Alligator mississippiensis: one gene and its partners. The protein of the gene in region 3 purifies or fractionates together with the protein of the main gene of each other region. This does not show direct contact. Links are inferred from orthologs where the notes say so. Each region holds a gene or a part of one and is shown on either strand. Other genes may lie near its edges.

Evidence for each region.
Region 1: the proteins of TSR1 (region 3) and RIOK2 fractionate together in Homo sapiens (co-fractionation; 3 studies listed by BioGRID and IntAct, with this or other methods). This does not show direct contact. The link is inferred for Alligator mississippiensis from reciprocal best matches to the Homo sapiens genes TSR1 and RIOK2.
Region 2: the proteins of TSR1 (region 3) and LTV1 purify together in Homo sapiens (co-immunoprecipitation; 4 studies listed by BioGRID and IntAct, counting the BioPlex papers as one, with this or other methods). This does not show direct contact. The link is inferred for Alligator mississippiensis from reciprocal best matches to the Homo sapiens genes TSR1 and LTV1.
Region 4: the proteins of TSR1 (region 3) and RRP12 purify together in Homo sapiens (affinity purification with mass spectrometry; 3 studies listed by BioGRID and IntAct, counting the BioPlex papers as one, with this or other methods). This does not show direct contact. The link is inferred for Alligator mississippiensis from reciprocal best matches to the Homo sapiens genes TSR1 and RRP12.

The regions. Positions count from the first base shown.
Region 1 is NC_081826.1:238,078,945-238,086,474, reverse strand, and holds the start of RIOK2 (serine/threonine-protein kinase RIO2), read right to left. Parts: upstream 3,005-7,530; 5' UTR 3,001-3,004; coding exon 2,772-3,000; intron 663-2,771; coding exon of another isoform or gene 659-662; coding exon 524-658; intron 1-523. Other genes in the region: uncharacterized protein LOC102560227, read left to right, coding at 3,259-3,303. UniProt on the Homo sapiens protein: Serine/threonine-protein kinase involved in the final steps of cytoplasmic maturation of the 40S ribosomal subunit. Involved in export of the 40S pre-ribosome particles (pre-40S) from the nucleus to the cytoplasm.
Region 2 is NC_081824.1:124,111,719-124,119,095, reverse strand, and holds the start of LTV1 (protein LTV1 homolog), read right to left. Parts: upstream 3,040-7,377; 5' UTR 3,025-3,039; coding exon 2,971-3,024; intron 2,908-2,970; exon of another isoform or gene 2,537-2,907; coding exon of another isoform or gene 2,534-2,536; intron 1-2,533. UniProt on the Homo sapiens protein: Essential for ribosome biogenesis.
Region 3 is NC_081837.1:868,636-875,556, forward strand, and holds the start of TSR1 (pre-rRNA-processing protein TSR1 homolog), read right to left. Parts: upstream 3,025-6,921; 5' UTR 3,010-3,024; coding exon 2,901-3,009; intron 2,800-2,900; coding exon 2,696-2,799; intron 2,617-2,695; coding exon 2,400-2,616; intron 2,318-2,399; coding exon 2,183-2,317; intron 1,865-2,182; coding exon 1,434-1,864; intron 1,112-1,433; coding exon 952-1,111; intron 395-951; coding exon 237-394; intron 1-236. Other genes in the region: uncharacterized protein LOC109285919, read right to left, coding at 5,241-5,259, 5,374-5,548, 5,926-6,024, 6,329-6,467, 6,715-6,898. UniProt on the Homo sapiens protein: Required during maturation of the 40S ribosomal subunit in the nucleolus.
Region 4 is NC_081829.1:100,665,368-100,673,210, forward strand, and holds the start of RRP12 (RRP12-like protein), read right to left. Parts: upstream 3,013-7,843; 5' UTR 2,998-3,012; coding exon 2,653-2,997; intron 2,554-2,652; coding exon 2,470-2,553; intron 432-2,469; coding exon 355-431; intron 137-354; coding exon 31-136; intron 1-30.

The DNA of each region.
Region 1 (7,530 bases), on a different chromosome or scaffold from region 3:
AATGCAATGAGCACCAACCTTTTTGGCAGGAGTGCCACATATTAGCTATGCACCCTCCAATAGCCTTTTCCTACCTGAACTGCTTTCTGTTTCTTGCTCTGTTCTCCCCATCTCATCTCCTGCTCTGCCTTCAGCCTCCTGCCCTATCTGCTGCTGTGCTGCATGTCCTCTTCCTGACCTACCATGTGCCCCACACAGAGGCTGCCCGTGCCACTTGTGCCACAGATAGACCACCCTGATATAATCCTTTGTTGGATTACATATATGTAAGCTATGTATGGTAAAATCATAGTACATGGAATGGATAAGAGAAGGTATAAATGTATTCAGCTACTTAGTCACTGAACTACCAAAGGCTGGTTCCTCTGAGAAGCAGACCTCATTGAAAAGTGCAAGAGTACCTGTGCAACACCTGTAACTTGGCTAAATTTTTAACTCAGCAGAATACTGCTGCAATTACACCAGTGAACTAAGTCAACACTTTAAAACAGAATATAAATGCTGGTGTGGGACTTGTACTCACTTTTAGTTCGTTCATAAGCTAAGAGCTTGTGCTTCACTAATTCCCTCAAAACTTTGTTACATCCGCCATATTTAAGGCTAGCTATGGAGGCAATCAAACTAGCAGGAACAATTTCATGGTTCTTCATGCCCATTTCTACCTGGGATAGAAATAAAAAAGTTAGATGTACAATAGTTTTTTGACTAGCTAATGAAGTAAAGTCATTCTCTACATCAAGCCTAAGCTTATTTTTGCAGATAAATTGATACAAACCCCACATGGTAAATAGCATACATTTTTCTTTTATTAGCTCTGCGTTTAAATGCATTAGCAGTAATGAGACAGTTCTTTGATAAGAAAATGACAGATAATGCAGATGGAAAACCTCTTGTTTGGGGGAATATAAACATACGCCCTTGGTTGTGCTTCATACTTGGGAAATTCAGCAGGCAACTTCCATACTATTTAGGAAACAACCCATTACTTAAAAGCCAACAGGAGTGACAGATGATAGGATGAATGTTTCTCCCTCACTCCCTACAGCAGGGAATCTGAAACTAGGGATTGGTAAACCAGGGTTGCTAAGAGAAATTCAATTGGAGTTGCAAGGCCCGACAAAGTGGGATCCAGCTTGGAAACCCTGGGTGACTGCAACCCAACTTTTCTGTTGCTTTAGAGCAGTGGTTCTCAACCTTTTGACTCAAGGCACCCATCAGGAAATGCCAACTGTTACTTTTCATTTTTTTTTTGAGTGTGGAAAAATAATACAGCAATTCTTGTTGCAAAAGACCTAGAAAGCTACCACGGGTCAGCGTGTTTCTAATACTGGATTCCTAGCTAAAATCTCGTTTTACCCCGTGAATCATGTTGGCACAGCTACTGGTGTTAACATGGCGTGGCACTCCAAGGTGTTGCAAGGAAAATTAAATCTGGTCATGTCAAACTGACCAAGCTCCCAGAAGTCTTTTTGAGATGATTCAGTTAAAGACTGGCAATGATTGGCCTAAAGTTAACCCCAGTAAAATGCCAGGGAATATCCAGAACAATAAAACAATAAATTGAGATAACGTGGTGTCCGTTGGGATTAATTAGTGTGGGAACAGGACAATAATGGGAAAATAACAGAAGAATACTCCAAGTGCGTAAGGCTGTTTTATTGTAAACCTATGATCCATATGCCAAACACTACATAACAAGCTTGGCTAGTATTAGAAAGGGCGACATCACTAAAGGGTTAAATAGCATAAGCAGGATCGCTGTTTGCCATTTATACCATCTGCATGGATTTCTAAGGGAAGATCAAGCCTTCGGACTTGGAGCAGCGCAACCCAGGAAGCTCACTCAGTGTGGCTAACTGTGGGGAGTGACTCCTGAGTAACAGCTCTAGACAGACTGTGATGCAGTGAGATTCACGTTAACACGCTCAGTTTTTGTGACTGCCTGCTTACACACTGGCAAGCCCAGTAAAGCTGACTACTTATTTACTGGCAAACCCAGTTGATTAGTTGCTTTGTACTTAGTGGATATTTTTGTAGTTAATATTAAGCTTCTGACTGCTTATTGGATGAGTACTGTGGGTTAATCACATAGTTCTCCCTGCCCTCTGAGAAGCAGGGCTCAAGTTTCAGCCCAACACATGGCACTCTTGAAAAGATCTCAAGGGACTCTGGTTGAGAATCACAACTTTAGACATTGTGTTATAATGATACCTTCTTCTCCAAGTTTCACTTTGATGATCCTGGAAGCTTCAGATTTACTAAGGAGATGCTTTTGTGTCCCGTACCCCAGCGATGGGAGCAGTACCAAAACGGGGACAGGTTTTTGCAAAGGATTTGCTCTCACTGCTACTGCCATTTGAATTCAATGTGTGGTACCAACAGTACCTGTATTAGAGCAGGTGTTTTTGGCCATCAGCCTCGCCCTGCAACAGCTCATGCAATGCAACGCAAAGCTGAGACAACGGGTGGCTGCCAGGCTGAAGCATCTCCCTCAAAGTGTTTGCTTTTCAATGGCTGAGTTGAAATGAAATCTCACAGGAAGCCTTCCAGGCAGAGCAGGGCATTCAGGCCAGCTCTAGCCGCCTGTATCAAGAGGGGAAAGCGAGCCTCCTGCAGTGGCAGGGGACGGATCTCAACATAGGGACACCGCGGCCTATCTTTTCCCGGCGCGCTGCGGTCTCCCATCTAGCAAAGATTCCCTACCAGCCCCTGCTCAGCTCCGCAGGCCGCGCTGCCGGGCGCACCACGAGGGCAGCCAGGCCGCTCCTTACCGCGGTCAGCACCCGGAAGTGGTCCCGCGCGAGGTACCGCAGCATCACCACGTTGAGCTTGCCCATGGCCCCGGCGCGGATAAGCGAGACCAGCCGTACCGCACACGTCCGCGCCCCAAGACCGACCGCTTTGCACCTGCGCAGAAGCTACGAAGCCGAAGCCCTGCGCAAGCGCAGGAGGCGGCGGCGAGGGCACTTCTGCCTGGGGGGGCGGTCCTGACAGCTGCATAAACAAACGCGCAGGGGAGCCTCACTACGTCCCGCTTGCTCCCCGCGCGGAGACACTGCAAAAGCCAGCAGGCCCGTGGGCAGCCGCGCGGTGCGAGACAAGCGGACTCCCCTCGCGCCCCAGCTGCTTTGCGGGGAGCTCCCGCAGGGTCTTCCAGGACCCGCTACCCAGCGGCAGCGTTGCCTGGGAGACGCGCAAGGCGAGCCGCTGCTTTGCTCCCCCCGAAGCGGCGTCCCCGCGGCCTGGGCCGAGTGGGCCATGAGCGCCCGGGGCCTGAGCCGCCGCGCACAGCCCGCGGACAAGGTAACCCTCGCCTCTAGCGCGCCGCGGAGCACAAGCTCGCGGCGGCGGCCAGTGCGCCTGCGCTGCCCGGGCCTGGCGGCCAGTGCGCCTGCGCCATGGGGGGCGGTTGGGCGGCGAGCCGTTCTGAGCGGCGGCTTGTCCTGGGCGTGGCCTCGCGTTGCAGGGGTGGAGCCGCGATCTGCGCGTGAGCCAGGCGTACCATCGCTACCGTAGTTATACGATAATGTCAACGCTTGTCAGACGTGCGATCAGTAATAGTAAAAGTGTTCAAAATGTACGGAAGTTTTGAGGCAGGTAATTGATGCCTCGTGCACAACCCAAGTCATTCCCAGGGAGCCTTAAGTGGCTCTTGGTTTTGCTGTCAGCACTTCCTTATGACTACTTGCCTTCAAATACAGGAATTCTTCAACTTAAACTCACTCACTCGAGTTGCAGTGAGGAATAGGAAGTAAATAAGAAGATGTGTGTGTGTGTGTGTGTGTGTGTGTGTGGAAAGCATGTGATAATTTTTCAGCAAATACAATAATTTTGAGCTTCCAAATCAATAACTTTACACTTAAGACCTGGCAATGCTGGCCAGCACTCTGCAGGAAGCTGTGCGCCCCACACCCCACACATGCCTCTTGGTACCTGCCAGTTACCCCTTGGGCATGAAAGGAGCCAGTGCAGTCCAGTTCCCTTTGTGGCACCAGCCTGCCCCGTGCCTGAGCCCATTGTATAGCTTGTGGGCTCTATCCTGGGTGCGCTCAGTCAGGGTGGGGTGCCCTGATCCCCCTTCCCAGGGGGACTGTGTACTGGTAGGGCTGCGGGATGGACACACGTGGATCACAAGATGAAGGTAGGGTAGAATTGCACCTTAGAAACGAACTAGCATGTGCATGTGTTCACCTGCAGGCCGATCTAGGATTTTGCAAAGCGGGGACAGATAGCAGGGGGCTATAACGCTACACAGATTTTTCTCCAGGTAAAAAAGAAATTAGATATTTTGCTGGGGGCAAGGAGAGACCTAGCATTGCCTTCACTTTACTGTAAGTGAAAACAAATTCAGGTATTGATCGTCTTTGTTGCATGTTCTATATTAAGAAATATGACGTGCTAGGCAAAAAAACAAACAAACAAAAAAACTCAAAAGATGTTGTTTCCTTAGGCCTGTGGTCATGAGGATTGAATGCACTCCTCTTTCAGATTTGTAAAATCAGGTCAAGCTGCCTTGAGCATCTTGACAGTGCAGCCAATGCTTCACTAAGGACTGAGCTGCGCATTACACTACACTTCAGGTGTAAGTAACAGGTTAATGACGCCTTGAGTGCTGACCTGGCTGCAAGTTCAATCAATAAGTGGTGTGATGAAAAGAGGAATAAACTGTTCCAGAAAATGTCATGAATACGTCTTTGCATTCTCCTATGCCTGAAGAAGGGTGCATGTGCCCAAAAGCTTGCAAATGAAGAGATTTTGCTGTTTGTTTGGGTTTTTTTTGTTTTTTTGCAACTGTCTAGTTGGTCTAATAAAAGATATTGCCTCTTGCATGCTGACTGCTTGTATTGTGTTCTTTGACTATCACAGCTAAAACCTCTATCCCACAAAATGTGTAATAACTTTTGTGGCTGCTTCCTGTCATGCCATGAACTGAATGTGTGGCTAAGGACCCCTGTGGCTGGGAGCCCCATCAGCTGATTGGAGTGAACATGGGCTGTGGTCTCCCAGCTGGAGGAGCGGGGCCAGGTTGGGTGTGTGGTGCATCTCTGTGACTGGGAGCCCTGCCGGCTGCTGTAGTTTCAGTTGTCAGAACTTGATTCTTGCTGGTGCAGGGCGAGTCCAGAATTGTGCTCCCCCTGTACCAACAATTGTGGGATCTGATTTCCAGTCCACAATCATGCCTTCTGCCATGCATGTGTCATGGCAGGAGGCATCATTGTGTAAATCTTGCATTAGATCCCATCCATCATGCCTTTACCTGCACTTGTAGTAGGTCCCCAGAAGTTATTTCCGCACTGGAGTTTAATGTTTTCAGCTAGAGTTAAAAAGAGTCTGCAGGGTTGTGGAGTAGGAGCTACACTACTAGAAATAGCTAGCAGACAGAAGAATTGTGTAAGAAATAATAGCTTGATTAGTGGAACATTTAAGGCCATTAAAAAGATAAGGTTGTTAATACCTGTGGAATAAAGCGTTTAGAAAGAATCAAGTAATTATAATGAGTTGTGAAATCAAGTGACTCCCTCACTGCTGCCTGAATAGAAATCCTTCTATCACTGCCAGGCACTTTGTTTGAAACTTTGGGTTGAGTGCAATCAAGAAGGAGTTCAAGTGCACTGCCACTACCCCTTCCCCTCTGTCATATCTGCTGTTGTATGTATGTGCAAGTCTTGTCGTGAGCTGCAGTCTCTCAGCCATGGGGTGTGTGGTGTACCTCATGTGGTTGGGAGATTATATCACACACTTTCATGAGCTGTAGCTTATTTCATCAGATGCTGTGACAGGATGTGTGGAAAGCAGAATATAAGGAGACTAGCACAGCTAGCTATGCCTTACAAGATAAACCCCAAGACTTCACATAGGGATTCCTTGTGTTGCAAGCATTCTGCCCAGCTCTAGTCTTTCTGAGGTATCTGCAGGGGAAGAATTGCCTTATTTTCCTCAGCCAAAACCGAGGGAAAGGGAAGCTGGTATCTTCTGAGAGTGTCTCTCATCTATGGAAGACTGCTGCTTTAACTGAAGTGCCTGGCATCTTTGGGCCCTGCTGTTTGGCAGTTATGCACTGCAGGCTAAATCCATGGTCTCAATGTCCAGCCAACTTGCAACTTTGTACTAGTACAGTGACCGTGTGTGGGGTCTTAGCTCTCTTCCTATTATACCAGGGCATTGGAACTTCTTAACCCTACGCGGGCCGGGTGCGATCCGGGCCCTTTTCGAACCGTGCGGGCTGTGGCCAGCAGCCCGGGCACGCTGGATCGGAGAAAACGGGCGACGTGCTAGAATTAGTCACGGACGCGTAGTGGTTGATTCAAGATTGTTTACTTACACTGAAGATGGTCATGGTGTAGGCTGGACAGTTTTCCAGGCACAGCTCCGATTAAATCCTCGTTTGAGGACTACGACAAGCTCGTGTCTCTCCCATGGAGTGGTTGAGACTCCGTGGATCCTTTTGCGCGCAGGGAGAGGGATACGTCGAGGATTGCAAACGGCGACAGGGAGAGGCTAGAGGTTGATCAGACCTCTGTTGCCTGCTTGAAATGCGCTGGGTCCGATAGGCTCCGCAGCGCTTGGAAATCTTCACACAGCGTGAAGATCCCTCCTCCTGATGTTCGTGGAGTCCTCCAACTTGGGCGGAAACCACTCAAGCTTTTTATACGGCTAGCAAGCCAATCACTAGCCGCCACGTGTGAATAATTTCACACGAGCCAATAATGGGGCTCGAATTAGAATACAAATGGCGGGAACTTCTTGCAATGTGCATTTCTTAGCTGCAAAGAAGAAATGCACGCTGCAAAGAAAGCTACAAATTGGCGGGAAAATAATTCAGTGGCGCCAAAGCACACAAAACAAAAATCACACCCTTGGGTTGTGACAAACCCATTATACTCAGGCTCATGTTGGCTGTGTGATCAACTGCATGTCTTAGTTGGCATATCCTGATACAATTTATGTCCCATGTAGCTACCAGGAATAGGGTCCTACATTCTCTTTAATCTCTACAAAGCCATGTAAATAACTATGATTTTTTAACATTCACTAATAAAGTTTTAAGTTGATTGTCTGCTACTTAGTTGCATGGTAACTGGGGCCAGTAAGGCTGAAGGGGAAGCAGCTGCCCGGGGGCTGCTACCAGGAGCCTTAGAATTGAAAGAGCCTATAGTCCAGGGGTGGGCAAAATGTGTCCCACAGGCTGAATGTGGCCTACCAGGCCATTCTATCCAGCCCGCAGGGCCCCTGAAGTGTTTAGAAAATGAATATTTATTTGCCCCTGGCTGCCTGTTATGTGGCCCTTGATGGCTTGCCAAAACTCAATAAGTGGGCTTCCACCTGAAATATTTGCCCACCCCTGCTATAGTCCATGTCAGGCTGCCCTCTCTCCTTTATTGTCATGGCTGCAAATTTTAGCCATGTTATTGACTAGCTTCCCTTACTTGCAAGATTCCTAATAGCAGCCACAGAAGTCTCGATGGAAGCTAGTTAGATTTTTGGGCCTGCTAATACCACAGTACTGACAATCCAGTGTACTTAATAAGT
Region 2 (7,377 bases), on a different chromosome or scaffold from region 3:
GCTCATCTATTCTTGTCACATCCATAGCAGCAACCAAAGAGAAACAGTTTGCATGCTCCAACTCTGTGAATGCAGCTATGTATTTGCAAGCTGCAGAAATATATAAACCAAGCATACTTACAGAGTGATTGTGAACATAATGCCAGGACATGACTGATGGAAAGTTCAGGCCAGGATATAGGTTATACCTACCCAGTAAACTTGCATGCCCAGCAGCAGCACCCTCAAGCAAGGTGTGCTGTTTCAAGGAGATTGCCACCAAGGCTATACCCACTTCTTTTCTAGACCTGAAGGTTGTTTCTGAAAGGTTATCTAAGGTATCTCCCAATCATTTGGTTTGATCCAGTAAAAGAAGTTATGAAACAAATCTTCCCTTTTGTTTCAACTAGATATAGTGTGGCCACACCTGTGTGGCTCTGTGAATGTGTGTGTGTGCATGGAAGGGGGGGGTGAAGGAGAAGGGCAGGGACAATTAGCTGTCCTTCTTTCAGCAATAATAATTAGCCAACCCACAGCACTGCATATAAACACACAGTTGCTTCTCTTAAGGAGGCTGTCAGTCCGGAATTGGGCAGTGTACCTGAGTGCCAATTTCAGGCATGGCAACTTAAGCAGAAACTTCCAGAGAAACAGACATGTGGAAATTCCTTAAGACAAACAGAGTTTACCACACTTTTAAAAAAAAATGTCTGATCATAAATACAACAATAGCAAAGCTGTTCATAGAACAACCAACTGCCACATCATCACCAGGGATCCTGGTTTTCTCTGATTTTAAAAGTATGCCCAATTTTTTAAACTGAAAATTAGGGATTTTTTTTTTTTTTTAAATCAGAGAAAACCAGGATACCTGCCCATCACTGCGTCATCCAATAAACCTCCAGAACCGTGCTTCATTCTGGATTCCTCACAGTTCTAAAGCAGTCTTAACTTACTGAAATAATCTTCTATTGCTGTCAGTACAACTGACTGAAAAATAGATATATACGCTGACAAATATTTTCAAAGTTGTTCCACCTACTGAAAATCCTGAAGGGTGAGAATGTTGTCAGAATATATTAAGCATGAAAGTTATTGTATAAATCTAATCTTCTCTGCCTTAATTAATCTTAAATATAAATCAAACGTTATATGCAGCTTTAGGAATAAGACTCGCTGGCTGCTAGCATGAGTTTTTAATACTGCTTGTGTTTTGAAATGTTACACCTTGAAATAACACAGAATGAGGGTTCCTGTTACACATTCAAATTAAAGCTGGATAGAAACCAGCTATAAAGTTGGAACGCATTTTCAAGCTCTAACTTTGTAGCTGGTTGGTTCTTTTTACAGTTGGACAGACATTTTTATGGCATGATAACTACTTTGCCTGTGTGGCCAGAGATACCCGAGGGTAAAGTAAACACCACAGTTGTGAACCAGCTCTGAAAACACTAGTACAGGGGTGGGCAAAGTGCAGCCTGCGGACCAGATGTGACCCTCCAAGTCATCCTATCTGGCCCCTGGGGCCCCTAAAAACTTTAGAAAATTAATATTTATCTTCACCTGGCTGCCTGTCATGCGGTCCTCAATGGCCTGCCAAAACTCAGTAAGCAGCCCTCCACCCAAAATAATTGCCTGCTCCTGCACCAGTAGAACAGAAGTGTTCAAAACCTGGATGCCCTTTCCCATAGGAAGTATACTTCTAGATTGTTTCAAAGTGGACATGAAACCCACTGGATTGGAAAAGAATGAATTCTACTTCCAATTATTGCCTATACAGAGCCAGAAATAAAAAACTTGCACTACCTTCATATACCCCACTGACATCTGTTGGACATCTGCAGAATGTAATGGTAATATATAGCCTATCTGCATATAATAAAAATGAGCTAATATTTGCTCCCTACACTAACACACAGCTACAGATCGCGCGCTACCGTTATTTCTAACCGGTCTGTTCCTTACCCCCACTTCCAGGGCCACTTTGAGTTTCTGTCCATTTTCTCATACTGACACCCCCCAACCTTCAGCACGTTGTCAACTGCTGCTATTTCATACTCTGAAAGTAGCCCATGCCTTTGTTTAAAACACATCTCCCATTCTCCCAGTGGCAACATTAGCCTTCTGGTGTGGCTCCTAACGTTTGTTGCTCTTCCGACTTGGGAAACAGGCAGCTAGGGGAAAGCTCAGGTAGAGTTGATAAGAGCCACAATTTATGAAGCAGTGCCAGTGGCACCCATGAGCAGATCTAGGACTCAGAAAAGTGGGGTGGGCACAGGGCGAGGTGCCTCATCCCATGAAACAAGTTTTTCTCCAGTTAAACTAGAAGCTCCGCTATTATGCCGGGGGGAGGGAGGGGAGAAGATGCGTTTTATCTGATATTTGGAAATGAATGCTGCAAGAGACCTCAGGAGGTCACCTAGGCCCACAACCCAGGGCAGTGGGTGACGTCCCCCTGCACCCCCCCCCCGAAGCGTCCCGCGCCCGTCGCGGGGTGGGGGATGGGACGCGGGGGTTCCACAGCTCTCCCTTCTCCCCCCGCCCCGCTGCTCACCATGGCGCGAGGCCCGCAGCGCGAGGGGACTGAACACAGGCCGCACGCCCCTCACATGCAACTCCCGACCGCCGCCGCCATGTTGGAACGAGCTAAGTTCCGCCTTTCGTGGGGGGGAGGGGAGGAAGATTAAACCCCGCCACCTCCGTTTGGTCGGCGAACAGCCATCGTCAGAGATGGTAAAAGGCGCCGTGGAGGGTTTTAGTGAGTGTTCAGCGCAGAAAAAAGGACTAAGAGATAACGCGTCATTGTTGCTGCCCCCTTCCGAACCGGCACGAATGGTTCGGCCCACTCCGCTAAAGCAACGAGGGAAGGCATGGGAAGGGAGAGGGGCTAAAGGAGGAGGTGCATGCGCGGAGCAGACGCTCGGGCAAGGTTCTGGATGCCGGCGCGCTGAAGTGACGTCAGGCACCGTTGGGGAGCGGAGCAGAACTCACCGCACCGTTCGCTCCTCCTCCAGGGTGGCTATGGTTGGTCACTGGTGGGCGCATGCGCTGTGGGCGCTGCTGGGCCCTGGCTTTGGGTTTTGCAGTCCTTGCAGTTACTGCGGCTAGAACCTCCGCCTCTCCGTGACGTCACAAAGCCGATCATGGGGGCCGGCGAGCCCATTGTCCCGCCCGCCTACCCAGGTTGCTGGGTGCTGTTCGAGTGGGCGCTTCTCGCGGGACGGCCAGGCTAATTCGGATTTACTCCTCTTCCGGCTGTGCGTGTAAAGGGCTGTCTTTGCCTCTGGGTACGACTCAGGCCTCGGGAAAATCACGCTTCAATTGTTGTTAGTCCGATGGGCCTGGGGTTTGACCCGCTTCTGAGTGGGGGCAGCACAGGCGTTTGCACGTGTGGTCTTCCCCAGCTGCCCCGCTGCCGGGGAGAAGGGCGCAGCCTGGATGGTGGCCCTGGAAGAAAACACTAGCTCTACTAGCTCATGCTAGTGTGAGGCCATGGCACAGGAGAAGCGTTAACACATTTTATCCTGCATAGTTCTAAGGGATTTGAAGTGTGACAATGAACCATGTGCCTGCCTGGTCTTGTCACACGAGGCTTTCTTCCTGAGCCAAAGGCCTCACCTGTGCATGGTGTGGGAGGGGGTACTGCTGCGCTATTTGTACCCATCGTTTCACAGGATCTGATGAAGTGAGCTTCAGCCCAGGAAAGCTGGGGGTACATCTCTCCAGCTGAGTCCAAAAGAACAGAAAACACTATCTGCTCTAAGTTACATCAATGGAAAGCCAAATTAACTGGTCTGTGAAAGGGCCTGCACAAAGCAGCGTTTAAGGAGGGCCCCCCCAGGTAGTAAATAGATCAAGCATTTGCTCTGGGACGCGGCCCCTATGTATGTGTAGGGCTCATGTGTTTTTCCCTGGAGTGAACTGGCCAGGCTTGCACTTCTTGGTAGGGGAGCAACATACGTACACACACACTTTGGTTACTCTGTAAGGTGTAAATCTACCCTGCCTTCATTCTGTTTCTTTCCTCATCCTGCAGTTCTGTAACCTGCAGTGAAAACGAGCGACAAGTGTACAGGAGAAGTGGTTTCCTGGTGTAAGAAACCTCTTTTCCTGTACGTGACCCACCAGTGCTGAAGCAAAGGGAGGGGCGAGTGGGGCGACCACGCCTGGTGCCAAAGTGAAGGGACGCCAGCGGGCGCTGCCCAGCCAGGGCAGGGCATGGGACAGCTGTGAGCAGCTCAAATGAGGGGGTGCGGGGACAGGGGAAGGGTGGTTCCCACTGCTGGGTGCACTACCAGGCAAGGGGTGGGGGCACGTGCCCCCCTGGATCCATGCATGGGGCAAGGGTGGGCTGCCGCTGCAGGCTTTGCCCTGGGTACCAAACTTCCTTGCTATGGCACTGTGACCCACCACTGATGTCTTCCGTTTGAGAATGACATGACCCTCTGCAAATCTCCTTCTCTTTAGTTTCCTAATTATCTCCTGTTCTTGGGCTTTCTACTCATGATGTGGTCTGCTCCTCTGTGCTTGCAGAATGGCGCCAAAAAGCCTCCATCTGCCCTGTCAGGCCACGTTGAACTTCAATTATAGGTCAGGGTTTAGCATGAGGGAGAAGAGGGCAAATCCCCTCACAAGCAAGTGGGTAGAGAGGCAGTAAGGAAGGATGGAGTAGCCTTGTTAAAGTATTAATGCTGGTGTGGGGAGAAAAGAATAAAGGAGTGTCTTCTTTGGTTCAAGGCATAAACCCCCAGTTGATCAGTTCAGTCCATAGGTTAATACTGGTCTTGGATTCCTTGCTCTTGCTACGTTCAGACAGAGTAGCATCCACAAACAAGACTTTCTGCCAGCATTGCATAGAGGCTGTCTCCCAACCTAGTTGATGAGGATCTAGTCTTAGTTATTTATGCCTTTATTTCATTTAGCTGCACTACGGCAGTGTACTGTGCCTGGTTAAGAAATCTTCAGCATTTAGGAAACTGGAACTACTATAGTGCGTGGCATCTGGTGAAATGAGTTGTTGACTAGAAAAGTTGCCTGAGCTAGGCAACCTTTAAGGTATTACCTTGCCCTACCTTCAGCATGGAATTAGCATAAAATAAAGCAACAACTTTCAGCAATGCAAGTTACTATGAGTATATCTGATCCGTATCTTTGAATCTTTACGCTGATTTTCCATAGCATAACAAATCAAGTGCTAGTTCTTGGTCTTTACCTTCTTATCCATGGTCCCAGTTTAGAATATTTTGAAAATTGTTTAAAACTTCAGGGCAGATGCTGTGCTTGACAGCTTTGCTTGTCAGGCACAATGAAGCGTTCTAGTAAAGGGGACAAACATCTGTATAGAGACAGAGCTTTCTCTGGGGCTGATCTCATGCAGGATGATCGCCTCAGGAAGTAAAGGACCATCACAACATGCACCCCCATTCACTTCAAATGTAAGATGTATTTCTTTAACTTGACCACCTCTAACATAAATACAAAAAACAAAATGCAAACAATCTGCATACTACAAAAACAGGAAATTCCACTGCATATACCTCCATTTCTAGGGAGTGGATGAGTAAACAACACCATGTGACAGATGTTAGTTGCATTATGTAGTGCAGATACATTTGCAGAAACTCTTGTAATGAGGTATAAAAACCTGTGTAGACTAGGATAGGTACTAAAGATAGCTATCTGTCTTTATATATATTTTAGAGGATTGGATATATCTTTAAATATAAAATGTATTTGATAATTTGGATCGGTTAATAAAGTTAAAAAAAAAGAGAATAAAATGGGCACAATAAAACTTCCCTCCTTGATCTGCCTTGGAGTCTGAAGAGTTGTTCCTCAGAAGGATCTCTCCAAGGCACAAATCTTCTCTGGTGCAGCTACTTATCAGTCCACATTCAGGAGTGAGTTTAAAGGCTCAGTCTAACCTAATGCATATCAGTTTTATTTTTCGAGCTCTTTAGCCATATTGAATAATGAGCTCTTATCTTCTATACTACTGATACAAACTCTGCGTATCTATACTATACACAGATAAAGATGCACAGACCGTGCTCTTAAGAAAAACGTACTTGAAGTTGTTCCTCCATTTGTTTGGTCAGTGTTGCTCTCTATGTATGGACACTGTCATAGTATTGTCTGTGCTGCTGATGCTGTACACAGCATGTGTTCCTTTGAAGACCTTGATGTTATAGGAAGAATGACCTTTGGCTCGATTTGGTGGTAAAGGCTTAGCCAGTTTCATTACTTAAAGCACTTACTAATTAATGCACATGGCCAGATGGTTATAAGGACTTAGCCCTGGATACTTGTGGCAAGATATTAGCGCAATTCACCTGGGTAAATTCGGCACCGTTGCTGCAGGCTAAAAGTTCTAAGGGTTTCCTGTTCCCCTTATATACATTGATCAAAACAACTTTGTTTACCTCAGACTGTTTACATCAGACATTTCCTGTATCATGTATTTTAACAGACATTACCATTTTTTCCTGGATCACTCTAATCTTTGGACATCCTGTTGTTATCTTGTGTGTTCTGACCCCTTAAACAGTCAGCCTTGTCAGGGGTCTTTGCAGTCTAATCTTACAGGCATACATTTTAGGGTTTTTTTGTAAACCAGTGGTGTTCAACCTCTGGCCTGTAGGCCAAATCCAGCCAGAGGAGCAGTGCCATCCTGCCTTGTGGGGCTCCCCACAGGTCTGGAAATTTTGGTAACAGGGTTGTCAGTGTTAACCACCACTTCCCTGCTGCCCAATTTTCAGGCCTGGGCAGAGCCCTGGGGCTTGGTGTGCTAGATTACACTGGCATGTGGGTTGGGCTGACGTGTGACCAGATTGCTTCTGTGGATTGACCTCACACATAGGATCTGGCCTGTGGACCACCCCTGTACCACTTACTCAGCAGCACAGGCTGGAAGATTGAGTATCACTGATGTAAACAGTGTATACATCCTGTTTTGGTCAGTGCTTTAGTAGAGCCGTTATGTGAGCAGTAAATGCCCTGATTAATGCTTGTATCGATCAATACTCCAGCAAGACCTACACCTGATATTTCAGGACTACAAAATAATTTTTTTTTTTTAGAAGGAAAGTGTGAATCACAAAACAGGAGACTTTCTTACCTTCAATACATCTAGAGATTATAAAAATGAATTTTAATTGGTTATTAGGAAATTAAGAGATGACATTTAAAAGTACTAATCAATTTTAATTTTGAGCAGTCTACATTATCACTATCTTGTAAGTATAACAGAACACTATTAATTCAGTTTCAATTACCTATAGTGTATATTTCAATATTTTTTCAGTAGATGTCGCCAGAGCTTCAGAAGCCCGTATATTTTTCTCTTTCTTACTCTGTTGTCATTTTCTGAAGACTTAAGTCTTTACCATGATTTAGTAT
Region 3 (6,921 bases):
GCTATCTGCGCAGCTCTGCAGGGGCTGCCGGCCTATCACAGTGCCAAGGGGAGCCCCAGACAGAGCTCAGGGGAGAGCAGGCAAGCAACGGGGATTAAACTCCTTTTACCCCTTGGAGACTGGGAACCTGGGTGGCTCTCAGTCTGCCCTCCCTCTTCCTGTCAGAATACAGGTGTGCTTTGGGACAAGTACCACAGCGCTCAGACACCAGGTGCAACATCACCTACATCGCTTACCTGAAAAGCCTCTTCCTCCATCAAGTCATCCTCCTCCATGCTGTCACCATCTTCATCTTCCTCACTGCCATCTTCTTCGTCATCCACAATCCAGGCAGCCTGGTACTTCGACGTTCCCTTGGGGACCTTCACCGTCTTCCTTCTCTCCTTCACAGCCTCTGCCAGATTACCAGCCCCGTTAGCACTGTTCAGGCTTCTCCTTCCCCTTGCACCAGAAGAGCCAAGCCAGCCCTAGGCTGCCATTGCTCTCTTCCCTTTACGCATTAGCGCAGCTACACGAAGAGGACGTGCTTTAAGCATGCGAAAGGATTCACAAGGTGCCTTTCACTACACAGGAGAGCCAGTAAACAGAGCCTGCGCTTCCATGGGACTCAGGGAACATGAACCATGATGCCAGACTGCAGGAGAACCGCACGCACCCGAGGAACACGCAGAAAGCTCCCCTTCCCGACTCAGCTACTGCACATACGTTTCAGCTACTACACCACCATGGCCTGAGTCCAGCTGTCCAGCCAGCCTGAGCCCAGAGGCAAATGCAGTAAGCCAGGCAATCCAAAAGCCAAAGGACATGGCTGGGAAGAGGAATCGGATTTCTAAGCCAAATGATTTCCATTGGGACTAGCAAACCCCCTCCCCCCGACCCAAGCATCTCAGAGAAAACAAGTGCACCCCCAAGAGCCTGCAGGAAAGCCCAGGAAGGACTACTGCTACTGACCCTCTGCCTCCTTCAGCTCCTCCTCAGTAGGCCAGGTCTGCTCCCCCTCCATGGGGTCCGGAACCACCTCCGACTGCAGCAGCTCTTGCCTGCTGGGATCCGCCTTCATCAAAACCTTCACATCCTCCTCCATCTGGACAGCGCTGTTTCCAGGCTCATCCTGGAAAGCAGAAGGAAGCCGGGATGCCCCCCCGTGTGAGCCCAGCCCACTCCAGCAGCAGACCAGCTCATAGCAAAGACAAGATCACCCCACAGCCACCTCCAACCTCAGCAACCCCATGTCACCGCACCCAAGACAGACGCTGCGCTCCACCCAGAGCTCTCATGGCTGAAGTTACACAAACCTCCAGCCTGTCAATTCCTCTCTTCCCAAGCTGGCCAGGTGTGCTGCACAAAGCCTGCAGCAGCCACCCCAAGGCTTCTAATCAGCAAGGAGCAAACTGGGCTGGCAAGGCCAAGCAAAGCCCAGAACAGCATCCCACCTGTATTTCCATATCCTGGCCCTTCCTCTCTGGACGTTTAGCCGCTCGGGGGTTGAGACACAGAGGGTCTGGAGGCGCATCGACCTGACTCATCTGGAAGTCTCCCTGTCCCACAATGTGCACAAGGCTGTTCACGTTGAGGGGCTGTCCCCGAATGAAGCCAGATACCTTCAAGGTGCCAACCAGGTCACTTTCCTGGCTGGGCACAAACTCAGCGGCATGGGCAAGCAGGTAAGCCCGCCTGTCACGGAAAGCAAGGTGCCGCTGCTTCTGGGCGGCCAAATGCCTCAGCAGCAGCAAAGATTCCTGTTCTGTGTTCAAGGGGAAAAGCTTTGCCTCTGGGAATCGCTTTTCAATGGCTTTGCTCAGCTTCTTCTTAGCCTCTGTCTGCTTCTTTGGTGGAAGATCAGCCATTCCCTGGACAGCAAGAGCTAAAAAGCAGCACAGAAAACAGCAGCGTTAACAGCCAGTACTTCTGCTACCCACAGTCAACCAGCTAAAACACGGTTCGATATAATGAGCGGGCAGAACCCTGGGTGTAGGGCAGTTTTCATGCCTCGGCATCACTGCCGTTAGCCAGACAGACAACGCTCCTGGAGCGAGAGCGACAGCGTTCGCCCAGCTAGCCGGCATTCACGCAGCCAGAACCAAGAGCTGCCCAACAGGCCTATGGGTCGCTGCATGTGCTGCCTAGAAACGTCTCTCCCTGCTCTGCTCCGTGCATGCCTTGAGGCTGGCAATTCACCTACCGCAGCTGGGAAGCCCCTGTGCGAAGAGGCAAGAGAGGCAGTTCTCCCCCGCGCTGTCCCAGCCGTCCTCTGGGTGCAGCACGAACAGCAGCGAGTCCGCAACCTTGGCCAGGTCTAGCACCGCGTGGAAGTCCCCTGCAGACGGGGCGATCGTTAGGACTGAGCAGCGGGCGCTCAACGAGCGCTCAGCAGCCCGCGGGGAGGGGGGGTCCCTTACTGGTAGGTGCCAAGACGAAGCGCCATCGCTGCCGCAGCCGGGGGCAGAGCAGCGTGAAGCCGCGGGCTCCGTCCGCCTCCGAGACCACGAGGTTGGCGGCGTCGCTCCGCAGCAGGCGCAGGGCATCCGGGCCGCGCGCCCCCTCGTGCAGCGGCACCACGGCCACCAGGTGCGGGGGCCCGTCCGCGCCGCCCAGCAGCCGCTTCTCGGCCAGCACCTGCAGACACAGCCGGCCGCGCGTGAGGCCTCCCGCCGCCCCGTCCCGCCCCCCGCCCCGGGCACCCAGCCCCGCTCACCGCCTCCCGGCGCCGCCGCCGGAGCTGCAGGGCCTGGTGCCGCCGGTCCTGGCGTCTCAGGTCGCGGCGCCGCCGGCGGCTCAGGGCCGGGGCCGGGACGCGGCCTGCGGGGGAAGCGGCGGTGAGCGCGGGCGGGAACGCAGCACGTGGGCGGCGCGCCCGCAGCCACGTGGCGCCGGGGGAGGCGGAAGCGGGCGCGACTCACCCGGCGCGCGGCGCTGGGCGCCCCCCCCGTGCCTCCCGCCCTTGTGCGGCTTGTTCTGCTGCTTCAGAGCGCCGGGCCGGTGCGCGGCCGCCGCGCCGGGCACCGCCATCTTGATGCTGCCCCGACACTTCCGCTTCCGGGACAGCCCGCACTTCCGCCCCTCTCCCGAAGTGGTGCTCGCCCACTTCCGCCCCGCTTCCGGGTGCCCCTCCGGCGCACGTGGCCGGGCGGCCCGCCCCTGGGAGGCCCCGCGGCGAGGAAACGAGGCCAGGCCGGGAGGCAGCGAGACGGTTTATTTGTTCGCAGCCGTCGCCGCCCGGGTCTCGGCCGCGGCGGCTGCTGTCTGGAGTGACACGTGTCCGCAGCTCGTGGGCGTCAGGCGCTGCCCCGGGAGGGGCAGGCGGTGCTGCCCGGAGCCCGAGCCCGGCGGCAGGTCCCTCGGCCCCAGGAGGGCGACGCGGCCGGGCTGCAGGCGGCGAAGCTTCTCCTTCCGCGTCCCCGGCCCGGCGCTGTCCTCGCCCCGCTCCGGTCCCCAGTGTTGCCGGCGGGCCCCGGTCCAGCGGAGCCGTCCGTGCCCAGCCCGCGGCTGCTCAGGTGTAGAGCCCGGCTCTGGCGTCCCTGTCGCCCACCAGCCCCCACGCTGTGCTCAGAGAGGCTGGCAGCAGGGAAGGGCTCTGCGGGTGGCCGCTGTCCTCCAGCTGTAGGTAGTCCTGAGGACAAGGGGCAGGAGCCATCAGCTGGGGCGAGTAGCAGCCGGGGCCCCGTGCCTGGCACGGGTCAAAGCGCTAGCCCTTCACTTTGCTCAGCACCTAGCAGTGCAGAAGCAGCTGCAGGCACCCCCAGGGGCTATTAATCCCCACAGCGGCCTGTGGCCCGCTGGGCAAAGTGCCCTGGGGTCGGTCCCGGTGCCGCTGTTCGGAGCCAGGCCGTGCTCTAGCAGGAGCTGCTTGCCTGGTGCCAGACCCGGCCCCAATGGGTTAGCGACTACCCCAGACTCCAGGCCAGCCCCAAAGTGCTGGGGAGGAGAGCGGGGAGCAGCAGAGCCTGGAAGGGAGACAGCAAGGTCCTTAAAGGGCAAGTGCTCTCACCGCATCCTCCTCCACGATGTCCTCCAGCTCCTGGACAATAGCGGAGAAGCACGGCCGCTCGCGGGGGTCGTCCGCCCAGCACTGCTCCATGAGCCTGGCACTGGGGCGCGCACAGCAGGGAGTCAGGCCCAAGCACAGCCCGAGGGCAACAGCTGCTATGCCCCAGGGCCCAGGCCCACCCTCTGTGCTGGGGGCAAGGAGGCAGCCCTCGCCCTTCTCCCCCACCTGCTGCTGCCTGGACTGTGCCCTTCCCCAGCCAGGAGCCCCTGTCCGAGGCAGGCAGAGCCCTGCTCACATTTGCTCTCTGCATCCAAGTGGCCTGCTCATCCGGTACCCCGAGCACACGTGGAACATCACTGCCTCAGAGTTGTCCAGGTACGGGTATGGGGAGCAGCCTGCAAGGGGAGACGGGGAGGTTACCCAGCTGTACAGAGGCTTGCCTTCGTCCCTGCCAGTCTGGACAGGGCACTGGCCCAAGCCCAGCCGGGTGTTATACCCTTCTTGCTGCAGGCAATGGGACCCCGTCCCCTCCTATCAGACCTTTCCCCTCCCAGCACAGGGCTATTCCCAACGTTCCTGTCCTCGTCCACACAGCAGCACATGCACTCACACTATGCTCAGATGGTTGAGGGACCTGGTTCACCACCAAGCCAAGCAAGTGAGGACTGCCAGGCAGTCTCAGCTTCCTCTTTCCCTGCTCGGCTGCCCCAGGTGACAACACTCCCAGAGGCACGTGCTGGCCCGCAGGAGCTCACACAGAGCACGACTCTTTATGCCCAAAGCTGATTCCAGCAGGCAGGGTCCCAGGAGAGCGTCTGTGCCCTGGGCATCACACCCTGCACGTGTGCGCACACACGTGCACCCCCCACATGAAACCCAAGTGGGGCCCAGCTCTTGGAGCGATACCTAGCATCTCCATCTCCCACAGCACGATCCCAAAGGCCCAGACATCACCAGCCAGGCCATAGATGCTCTCTCGGAAGTACTCCGGGGGGTACCAGCGCAAGGGGACCTCCACCTGTAATGTAGACAGCTCATGGCAGGGGAGGCAGGAGCACCAGAGGCCAGCACCAGTTGGGAGAGCTCAGCTCAGAGCTTGGTCCACCGTCCGTGCCTGCCTCGGCAGAGGCTGGGATGCAGCCTCCTACCTTTGTGTGCCGGAGGGGGCCCTCATGGCCCAGCTCCCTAGCCAGCCCGAACTCAGCAATCTTGCACCCATGCGGGAATGCACTGACCAGGATGTTGCGAAGTGCTAGGTCCCGATGCAGCACCTGTGGGGACAGGCCAGGGCCAGCGTCTGAGCAGCCAGGCGAGACCTTGCCTTCTGCTCCCCCCCATCCTGCAGCTCGCCCAGACTTGTGGGTTCCCCTGAGCTGTGGACCCACCTGCCAGCACTTGCCTGCTTGTCAGCGATGTGCTTCATGCCCAGGGAGATGTGGTAAGCCACCATGGTGAGCAGAGCCTGCAGGTCCCCACAGCTGCGCAGCTGCTCCTGGCGGGAGCGGAGGAAGGTGCGCAGCGTGCCAAGGCCGGCGTGCTCCAGGATCAGCACATAGGGCTCTGCAAAGGGAGTGGCAGCAGGTCAGTGCCACGTGGACCCCAGGCTTAGCAGCACGGCCCCAGAGCAGCCGCTGCCCTTCGCACCTCATCGCTGAACCAAGGCACTTGAAAGGCCCCATCTGCTCCTCCCTGCAGTGAGGGGTGGCTCTACCCTGCTGCCAGTAGCCTTGGTGGCTCATGGCCTACCTGACATAGCAGAAGCGTCCAGGGCCTTGCAGGCCTCTGTCCTCACTTGTGCCAGGCGAGGCAGGGCTGAGCAACCACCCCTGGATGGACAGGACCCAGAGACCTGCCCAGGGTCACCCAGGGACCCCGTGGCCCAGCAGGGTGTCACAGCATCGGCGGGAGGAGCTGGACTCCTCTCCTTCTCCCCTCACCTTGCTCCATGTTCCAGTCCAGGAGCTGCAGGATGTGCTTGTGGTGGCCCAGCGTCGTCAGGATCCTCACCTCCAGCTCCACTCGTGCTGCTGGCAGGCCTGGGGAAGCCATGGGCACACAGCAGGGGCTGAGCACAGCCACCCTCGGCTGTGCGGGTGGCCAGTCCTGCCCCCACCCCCTACGTTCTGCCGCCTCTAAGGTGCTCCCACGTCCCTGGCACAGGCGCCAGAGTCCACAGCAATGCCCTGGGCAGCTTACTGGGCTTGCTCTCTGGATGGCAGGGCCAAAGCGGGGACGAGCTCTGCCCAGTGCTGGCACTCATGCTGCACCTCCCACTCTGGTGCCCAGCTCAGCCCTGGGCTGGGGCTCTGGAAGAAGGAGAAGATGGAACCATTTCCTCACCCCGGCGGCCAATCTTGCAGGTGACCAGCTTGTGTCCCCGGTGGCTCCCTGTGCTCAGCCTGGCGCGGTAGAACTGACCGTGCTTGCCATCCTTGATCAGCTCCATGAGGGCCACGCCCTGCAGGACACGTGCCAGGCCCTGGAAAGCACAGGTCAGAGCACCCGTTTGGTCTGCCCACCCCACATGGGGCAGAGCACCCGTGTGGCCTCTCGCTGCTGCTGCTGGGAGGGTGCTGGCACTGCTGCAGGGAAGACCACAGCAGGGGAGCGGCCGCAACCGCCTCCACGCGGGTGGCAGAGCTGGGGGCAGCCATCTGGAGCAGCAGCAAGACCTCTAGGGTCCAGGTCTCTGCGGCAGCCAGCTGCAGGCCCCAGCATGGACTCACCTGCTTGTGTCTCCACATCTTGAAGGAGGTGCGTGCCTCCTTCAGCGGGAACCATGCAGTCCCTGCCAGGGGCCTGGGAGCCCCCTGCCGGCACCCCCCCACGAAGGGCTGGGTCTGGGGAGCCCCCGCTTCGGCAGCGCGGATGTCATCCTGGCTCGGGAACTTGTCTGAAGTCCGGCAGCGCCTGGGGGCGAGAGAGTGACCCTG
Region 4 (7,843 bases), on a different chromosome or scaffold from region 3:
GCAGCGCCCACTGCCCCCGGAGACACTCACCCAGCGCAGGGCAGAGGTGGAGCTGCTGCCGGCCTGCGAGGCCAGGATGTTCATGAAGGCTTTTGAGGTATCAGAGAACTTCTTCCTCAGCACGGGTGCCGGGACCCTGTGGTGGAGACGGGGGCATCAGCACGGCCATGGGGGAGGAATGCGGGCATGGAGATGGGCAGTGCTCCAAGCCGTCTGCTCCCCCGGCCCCAAAACCCTCCCACTGCTGCCTCTGCCCCCGAGGACACGCACACAGCGCTGCCCTACAAGGCCTGGGACAGCTCTGCCCCCGGGCAGCCGAGAGAGCCCGTGTGCAGGGCGGACGGAGGCACTCACCGCTTCAGCACCAGGTTGAGCAGGTAGGCGACCGCAGCCAGCGACTCCGCAGACTCCACAGCCTCCATCGTGGTCATCTAGAGAAAGGATGCAGGTGAGCCAGGCCTCCCGGGCACAGCCCAGCCTCCAGACAGGCCAAGCCAGGAGCAGGGGGATCTGCTGCTGGCCAAAGCCCCCAGAGCCCTGCAACCACCCCGAGCCAGCTGGGTGCTGCCTGCTGAGGCGGTTGGGGGCACTGGGAGCTGCTCCCTGACCCCTGCACCAGGAGAAGAAAGCAGCCCTCACCCGCGGCTGCAGCTGCCTTGGTCCCAGCAGCGCCTGCCAGGCCCCGTGACCGAGGCACCCGGGAGCAGGGGACGCCGCCAGGATGCAGCCGAGCCCCGAGCCCACGGGGCAGCCCAGAGCCCCCCAGGCAAGGCCTGTCTGTGGGAGGCTACAAGAGGGGACACCGCAGCCCTGGCCTAGCACCAATACAGGGCACCTACCAGGACATGGGCTCGGGGGACCCCAGGCACTTAGAATCATAGAAATGAGGGTGTGAAGGGACCTCAGGGGGTCACATCTAGTCCAGCCCCCTGCTCCAAGCAGGACCAGCCCCAACTACATCATCCCAGCCAAGGCTCTGTGTACCTGGGTTGTGAAAACTCCCAAAGATGGAGCTTCCACCACCTCTCGGGGTAACCCATTCCAGTGTTTTACTACCCTCTTCGTGAGGAAAGTCTTCCTGATATCTAACTTCAACTTCCCTTGCTGCAACTGGAGCCCATTGCTCTGCAGCCCCTTGCTGCAGCTGGAGTCCTGTCATCTGCCCCCACTGAGACCAGCCCGGCTCCATCCTCTTCGCAGCCCCCCTGCAGGGAGGTGAAGGCTGCTATTCAATCCCCCTCGGTCTTCTCTTCTCCAGACTCAGTCAGCCCAGGTCCCTCAGCCTCTCCTCACCAGTCCTGTCCCCCAGCACCAAGGCTGCACTACTGGCTCCTGTTCAGCGTTTTGTCCCCTGTCCCCCCAGGTCCTTTTCTGCAGAGCTGCTGCCCAGCCCGTCACCCCCAGCCTGCACCGGTGCAGGGATCGCTCCCTCCTCAGTGCAGGACTTTGCACTTGTCCTTGTTGAACCTCACGGGATTTCTTTTGGCCCAGTCCTCCAGTGTGTCCAGGTCACTCCGAATCCTAGCCCTGCCCTCCAGCGTATCTACTACATCCCCCAGCTTGGTGTCACCAGCAGACTTGCTGAGGGTGCACCGCATCCCATCTTCCAGGTCGTTGAAGAAGACATTGAAGAAAACCGGCCCCAGGACGAACCCCGGGGCACTGCACTGGATACCGGCTGCCAACTAGACATCGAGCCATTGATCACTACCTGCCAAGCCTGATGCTCCAGCCAGTTTTCTGTCCACCTTGCAGTCCAGTCATCCAGCCCGTACTTCCTTAGCTCACCCGCGACAATGCTGTGGCAGACTGTATCAAAAGCCTTGCTAAAATCCAGGTACACCACATCCCCTGGTCTGCCCCCATCCACAGAGCCAGCCACCCCCTCATAGAAGGCATCAGGTTGGTCCGGCATGACTTGCCCCGGTGAATCCATGACGACTCTTCCTGATCACCTTCTTCTCCCCCAAGTGCTTAGCAATGGATTCCTTGAGGATCCGCTCCGTGATCTCTCTGGGGACTGAGGTGAGGCTGCCTGGTCTGTAGTTCTATTTCCTTTTCTTAGACAGGGGCACTAGCTTTGCCTTTTTTCTAGTCATCTGGGACCTCTCCTGATCACCATGCGTTTTCAAAGAGGACGGCCTGTGGCTCTGCAGTCTCATCAGCCAACTCCCTCAGCACCCGCGGGTGCACCCATCCGGCCCCACGGACGTGCGCACGGCCAGCTTTCCCAAGCAGTCCCTAGCCCGATCTCTCACCGCCGCGGGCCGCTCCCCCCTCCACGCTGCGCTGCGCTGCGGCCCTGGCCTGTCAGACCCAGGCCACAAAGGCCTGGAGCGCTTCGGCCTTTTCTGCCTCCTGTCACCGGGCTGCCTCCTCCCCCGGCCGGAGGCGACCGCGCTGCCCCGTGCCCCTCCCGCTCCCCGCTCCCCGCAGAAACCCCTCGCCCAGGCCGGGCCGGGCCCTCACCAGCGCAGCGAAGTACTCGGTCTCGGTCTCGCTGCCGCCCCGCGCGCGGATCACCTCCGTCACGGCCGCCAGCACGGCGCACACCTGCGGGCGGGGAGCGGCAGGGCAGCACGGCACGGCACGGCACGGCACGGCACGGCGGGCCCCGAGCGCGGCCGCCCCCAGCCCGGCGCGGGGACCCACCTCCTTGTGCGCGGCGGAGCTGGACTCCCAGAGGCGCCGCACGCGGCCGAAGGTGAGGCTGGTGCAGTCGCTGAGGCCGCTCAGGAAGGTGCGCGAGGACTCCTCGGTGCGGGCCTCGCCGCCCCCCGCCGCCGCCGCCGCGCCCCCCGCCTGCAGCTCCTCGTGCAGCCGCACCGCCTCCACCGTCAGCTCGCTGCGCTCGGCGGCGGGCGGCGCCGCAAAGAAGCGGGCGCGGGCGGCGCGGCGGTGCCGGGCGCTGCGGGGGTTGCAGTCGCTGCTGCGCCCCTTGGCCCAGCGCTGCCGCCGCGCCGCCGCCCCGGCCCGCAGCCGCCCCGGCCTGCCCATGGCCGCCGCGATGCCGATCGCCCGACGGAACCACGTGCGGCCCGCGCGCCACTTCCGCCCCGCCCCGCCCCGCCCCGTGCCTTGCCGGCTCAGCCGCCCCGCCCCCGGCCCCGCCCCGTGCCTTGCCGGCTCAGCCGCCCCGCCCCCGGCCCCGCCCCGTGCCTTGCCGGCTCAGCCGCCCCGCCCCCGGCCCCGCCCCGTGCCTTGCCGGCTCAGCCGCCCCGCCCCCGGCCCCGCCCCGCCCCGCGCGTGTGGGCGCCCGTGCCGTGCCGTGCCGTGCCGTGCCGGTGTGGCGGGCGCGGCGGGCGCTCGGCGATCATCGCCTCCGACCCGTGCCTGGACAGCGACAAGCTGGCCCGGCCTCCCCTTGGCCGCCCCCGGGCGGGGGAGAGACGGCGGGCCCGGGGCCCAGGCCGAGTCCTGGCGCCCGCGCGGCGAGGCAGTCTGAGCTGACACCTGTCCGACACCGGCGCTGCCGCCCGTGGCCGTGGCTCCTTGGCACCCCAGCGGCGCCTGCTGAACGGCGCGTCTCCGGCCCCGCGCTGCGTCCCCTCACGGATTTGTGGGCGGCCACGAGCTCCCCTCGGCCGCCTGCTGCGGAGGCTGACGGGTCCGGTCCCTCCGTCTCCTCCTAGGGCTTGTGCAGCGAGCCCCTGACCACGCGACTGGCCTCCTCCGGCCCCCCCAGTCTGCCCACACCCCTCCTGAAGTGCAGCACCCACAGCTGGACGCGGGCTCGGCCTGCGGTCTGACCGCCGCCGCCCGGGGGACGTATCGCCTCCCCGGTCTACTCGTCCTGCGCCTGCCAGCGCACCGTAACGTGCCATTAGCTTTGCGGGTGATGTCACACGGACGACCCCTCTTCACCTTGGATCCACAACGACTCCGAGACCCCTGTCCGCTGCCATGCTGCCGAGAGGGTCGCTCCCACCCAGTCGGTGCGCTGGGTATGTTTGCGCCCTCGGTGCGGCGCTCTGCACGTGTCCTTGTTGCGCTGCATCCTGTTGTGCGCTGCCCACTTCTCTAACCTGTCCCGGTCTGCCTGCAGCTGTTCCCTGCTCTCCGGAGCGTGCCCTTCACCCCACAATCTAGTATTGTCCGCAGACTTGGACAGAGCACACTTCTCACCCACGTCCCAGTCACTGATGAAGACATTGAAGAGTACAGGTCCAAGGACCGAGCCCTGCGGGACCCCACTGCCCACACCCTTCCACGTCGATACCGACCTGTCTACTACCACTGTCTGGCTGCGACCGCTAAGCCAATTCACCACCCACCAGACCACGTAAACATCTACGTCACGGCCTCTTCATTGATTTATGAGACTAGGATGAGATACCGTATCGAAGGCCTTGCTAAAATCCAAGAAAACGACATCCACCGCTACTGCTGCATCCAAGCATTTTGTGACCCTGGCATAAAACGAAACCAGACTGGTCAGGCGTGATCTACCTGCTACGAATCCCCGCTGCTTGCCCCGCTGCATCATTTTTCCCACTGGACTCCCGCAGATATGATCCTTCATAATCTTTTCAAAGACCTTTCCAAGGCTGGAGGTGAGACTGACTGGCCTGTAATTACTTGGATCTTCCTTCCTCCCCTTCTTGAAAACAGGGACCACGTTGGTCCTTTTCCAGTCCTCCGGGACCTGCCCCAAGCTTCCCGAGCGCCCAAACAGCCGTGCCAGCGGCTCTGCTACGACACCGGCCAGTTCCTTGAGCACCCTTGGGCGCAGCTTGTCCGGGCCTGCCGACTCGAACACGTCCAGTCCATCCACGTGACTCTGCACCAAGTCAGCGTCGAGGGTTGGCGGGCTGGTGTCCCTCTGGTGCCCGTCTAAGAGCCCATTAAGAGACTTATCTTGAGCCCTGTTCAGGAACACCGAGGCAAAAACTCCGTGAAGAGCTCAGCCTCGTCCCCCCATCGGTCACTAATTGCTCCCCTCATTCAGTAGGGGTCCAAGAGACCTTGTTCCTCAGCACGGACGCCTGGGCCCTGCGGTGAAGACGGGGGCATCTGCACGTCCAATGGCCGGGGGGAGAAGGCAGGACTCAGGACCAACTGCTCCCCCTGGCCCTGAGACCCCCCTCCCACTGCTGCCTCTGCCCTGTGCCCACAGGGGCCCTGAGCACACCCCAGCCTGGGGACCGTGACACCCGCAGCCAGGGATGGTGCTGATCAGCTGGACACCCCCAAGCATCTCCCTGCAAGGTACCCCGTCTCCCCAGGGCTGTGACGCCAGCAGGCAGGACCGCAGGTAGGATGGGCTGTGACAGGACGCCTGTGGGCACCGCACCGGGGACGTGGCGCTGCCTGATGCAAGAGGTGCTGCCTGTGAGAAGGGTCCAGGCCTGCCAGCTCCAGCAGTCCCGGGCCGGCGCAGCCCAGCAGGCAGCAGCACTCGACACGGCCTGGGTTACACTTCCCACTGCCAGCCCCAGGGCCAGGGGCAGCACCCTGGCACCAGGCCCCTTCCCTGCGGGGTCTGAACCCCGAGCGCTGTCGCTGCTGCGTTTGCACACCCAGGAACCCGCCCTGCCCTGCCCGGGCTCACCCCCAGACAGCAGCAGCAGGAGGGCCAGGACCCCCACGCTGGGCTCTGCACCAGCCCCGGCCCCAGAAAGACCCTGCTCCAGCCCCCCTGCACCCGGGACCGGCCCCGGGGCCTCCTGCGCTGTGCAGGGGGGCTGAGGAGGGGAGGGGGGTACGGAAATGGAGATGGGCGTGCGGTGCAAATTGTGTAACCGGTTTTTGTGGTTTAACTGTCATAGCGTGCTTCGGTCTGCCCCGTGAACCACAGCGGTCACTTGGGAGGGCGCTAGAGGTACAGTTATGTATATGTAACCAGAGACTGAGAGCCACGGGACTCTTCAGCCTGGAAAAGTGCAGGCTCGGAGGGGACCTGATGGCCCCCTATAAGTTTATCAGGGGTGTTCACCAGGAGCTGAGGGAACGATTGTTCACCAGAGCGCCCCAAGAGATGACAAGGTCAAACGGTTATAAACTCCTCCAACACTGTTTCAGGCTGGACATAAGGAAGAATTTCTTTACTGTCCGAGCCCCCAAGGTCTGGAACAGCCTGCCGCCGGAGGTGGTGCAAGCACCCACTTTGAACACCTTCAAGAACAAACTGGATGCTTATCTTGCTGGGATCCTATGACCCCAGCTGACTTCCTGCCCCTGGGGCAGGGGACTGGACTCAATGACCCTCCAGGGTCCCTTCCAGCCCTAGTGTCTACGAGATATATTTGCAACCCCCCGAGGGGTAGCACTTCCATGAATGTCACGGTAGCAGTGTATCTGCTCTGGGCAGGCCACTGCGGCCAAGAGCAGCCTTTGCATCACCGCACTTTCACCCTCCCTTCCTTCCTCTGTAATCTGCCCCTGGGGAAGGCGTTTGTCTGCATCTGCTGCTGCCAGCCGAGCAGAGTGGGGCACGGGTACCGCGTGGATGGGAGACCCAGGCCATGCCACATGTTACGTACATGGCGCAGTTCATTGCTGAATTACAGGATAAATGCGGACTGGCCACACACGCAAAGTCAGGACCATAGATGAAAGTCTGTACAACCCCCAGCTGTGAAAAGAGCCAAGCAGGGACACAGCAAGCGCTGCAAGACCTGCCACAGCCCCAGGGCTGGTTTCTCTCCAGGTGCCAGCGGGTCCGTGTGGGGTCACACGTGGGGCAGGCGAGGGCACAGGCCCAGCCTCCCCCCAGACCTGCTCCGGCCTTGCCCAGGGCCAGGGGAGGAGAGGCAGACCCCCCTGTAAGGCCAGCGCTAGGTCTGTTGGGGGTCACAGCTGTGCTCCTCAAAGGCCCCCGAGCCTGGGGAGCCCAGCGCCAGGCAGCCGGGCCTGGGCTCGCAGCAGCTGCTCTGGCAGCCCGGGCGCCACGAGGGCCGGGCACCCAGCGCAGACCAGACTCACATCCCCTGGACCACGAGGGAGGTTTCAAACCCACCCCTGCAAGCGGGTGCTGAGGGGTCGTGGCTCCAAGCTGCCCTCCATCCCCGGACTGTGAGCAGGTGGACTCCACTGCCCACCTGCCCTGGGCACCTGGAGAGCTGCCTGCACCACCACAGCCCTGCACCCCTCCCGGGGCCACTCCCCCCCAACAAGGCTTCTCCACCCAGGGACCTCCTGCCACCTCAGTGGTGCCCCCTCCACTGGCGCTGTCTCTGCTGTGTTCACACAGGCCCAGGACCCCCGCGTTGGGCTCTGCACCCTGCACCCTGGCCCCAGAGAGACCCTGCTCCAGCCCTGCCTGCACCCAGGACTGGCCCCAGGGCCTCCTGCGCTGTGGAGTGGGGCTGGGGCAGGAGCGCCCATCCAGGCCCCCACGAGCAGACTCACGCATTGCCCAGTGCCCCCCAGCCATGTCTCTGTGACCCACCCACAGCCCCCAGGAGACGGGGTCAGAGCCCAGAGCCCTGCCCCAGGCCGTTGCCTGGGCCGCAGAAGACCCTGAGTCCCCCTGCGTGGCACAAGGCTGGGCAGGAGGGCACAACCCCACCGGCCCCGTGCTGGGCATCCGACTGTACCAGAAAGGGTTTTGATGCATCCGACTGTACCGGCTCTGACTGTACTGGAAAAGGTTTTGAAAAGTCTGGGGTGTACACCACGGGGTGCACACACATTGCCTCCTTGACCCACCGGAAGGCTTCCTCAGCCTCTGTTGTCCAGCTAATCCTACTTGGGGCCGAGTCCTTGGTAAGCTCGGACCGTGGGGATACGTCCAAAAGTCAAGGTATTAGACGGCGGTAGTAGTTGGCCAGCCCCAGAAAGAACCACATTTGTCTTTTTGTTCAGGGCACGTTATAAGCCCTGAAGGCCTGCACTTCATCTA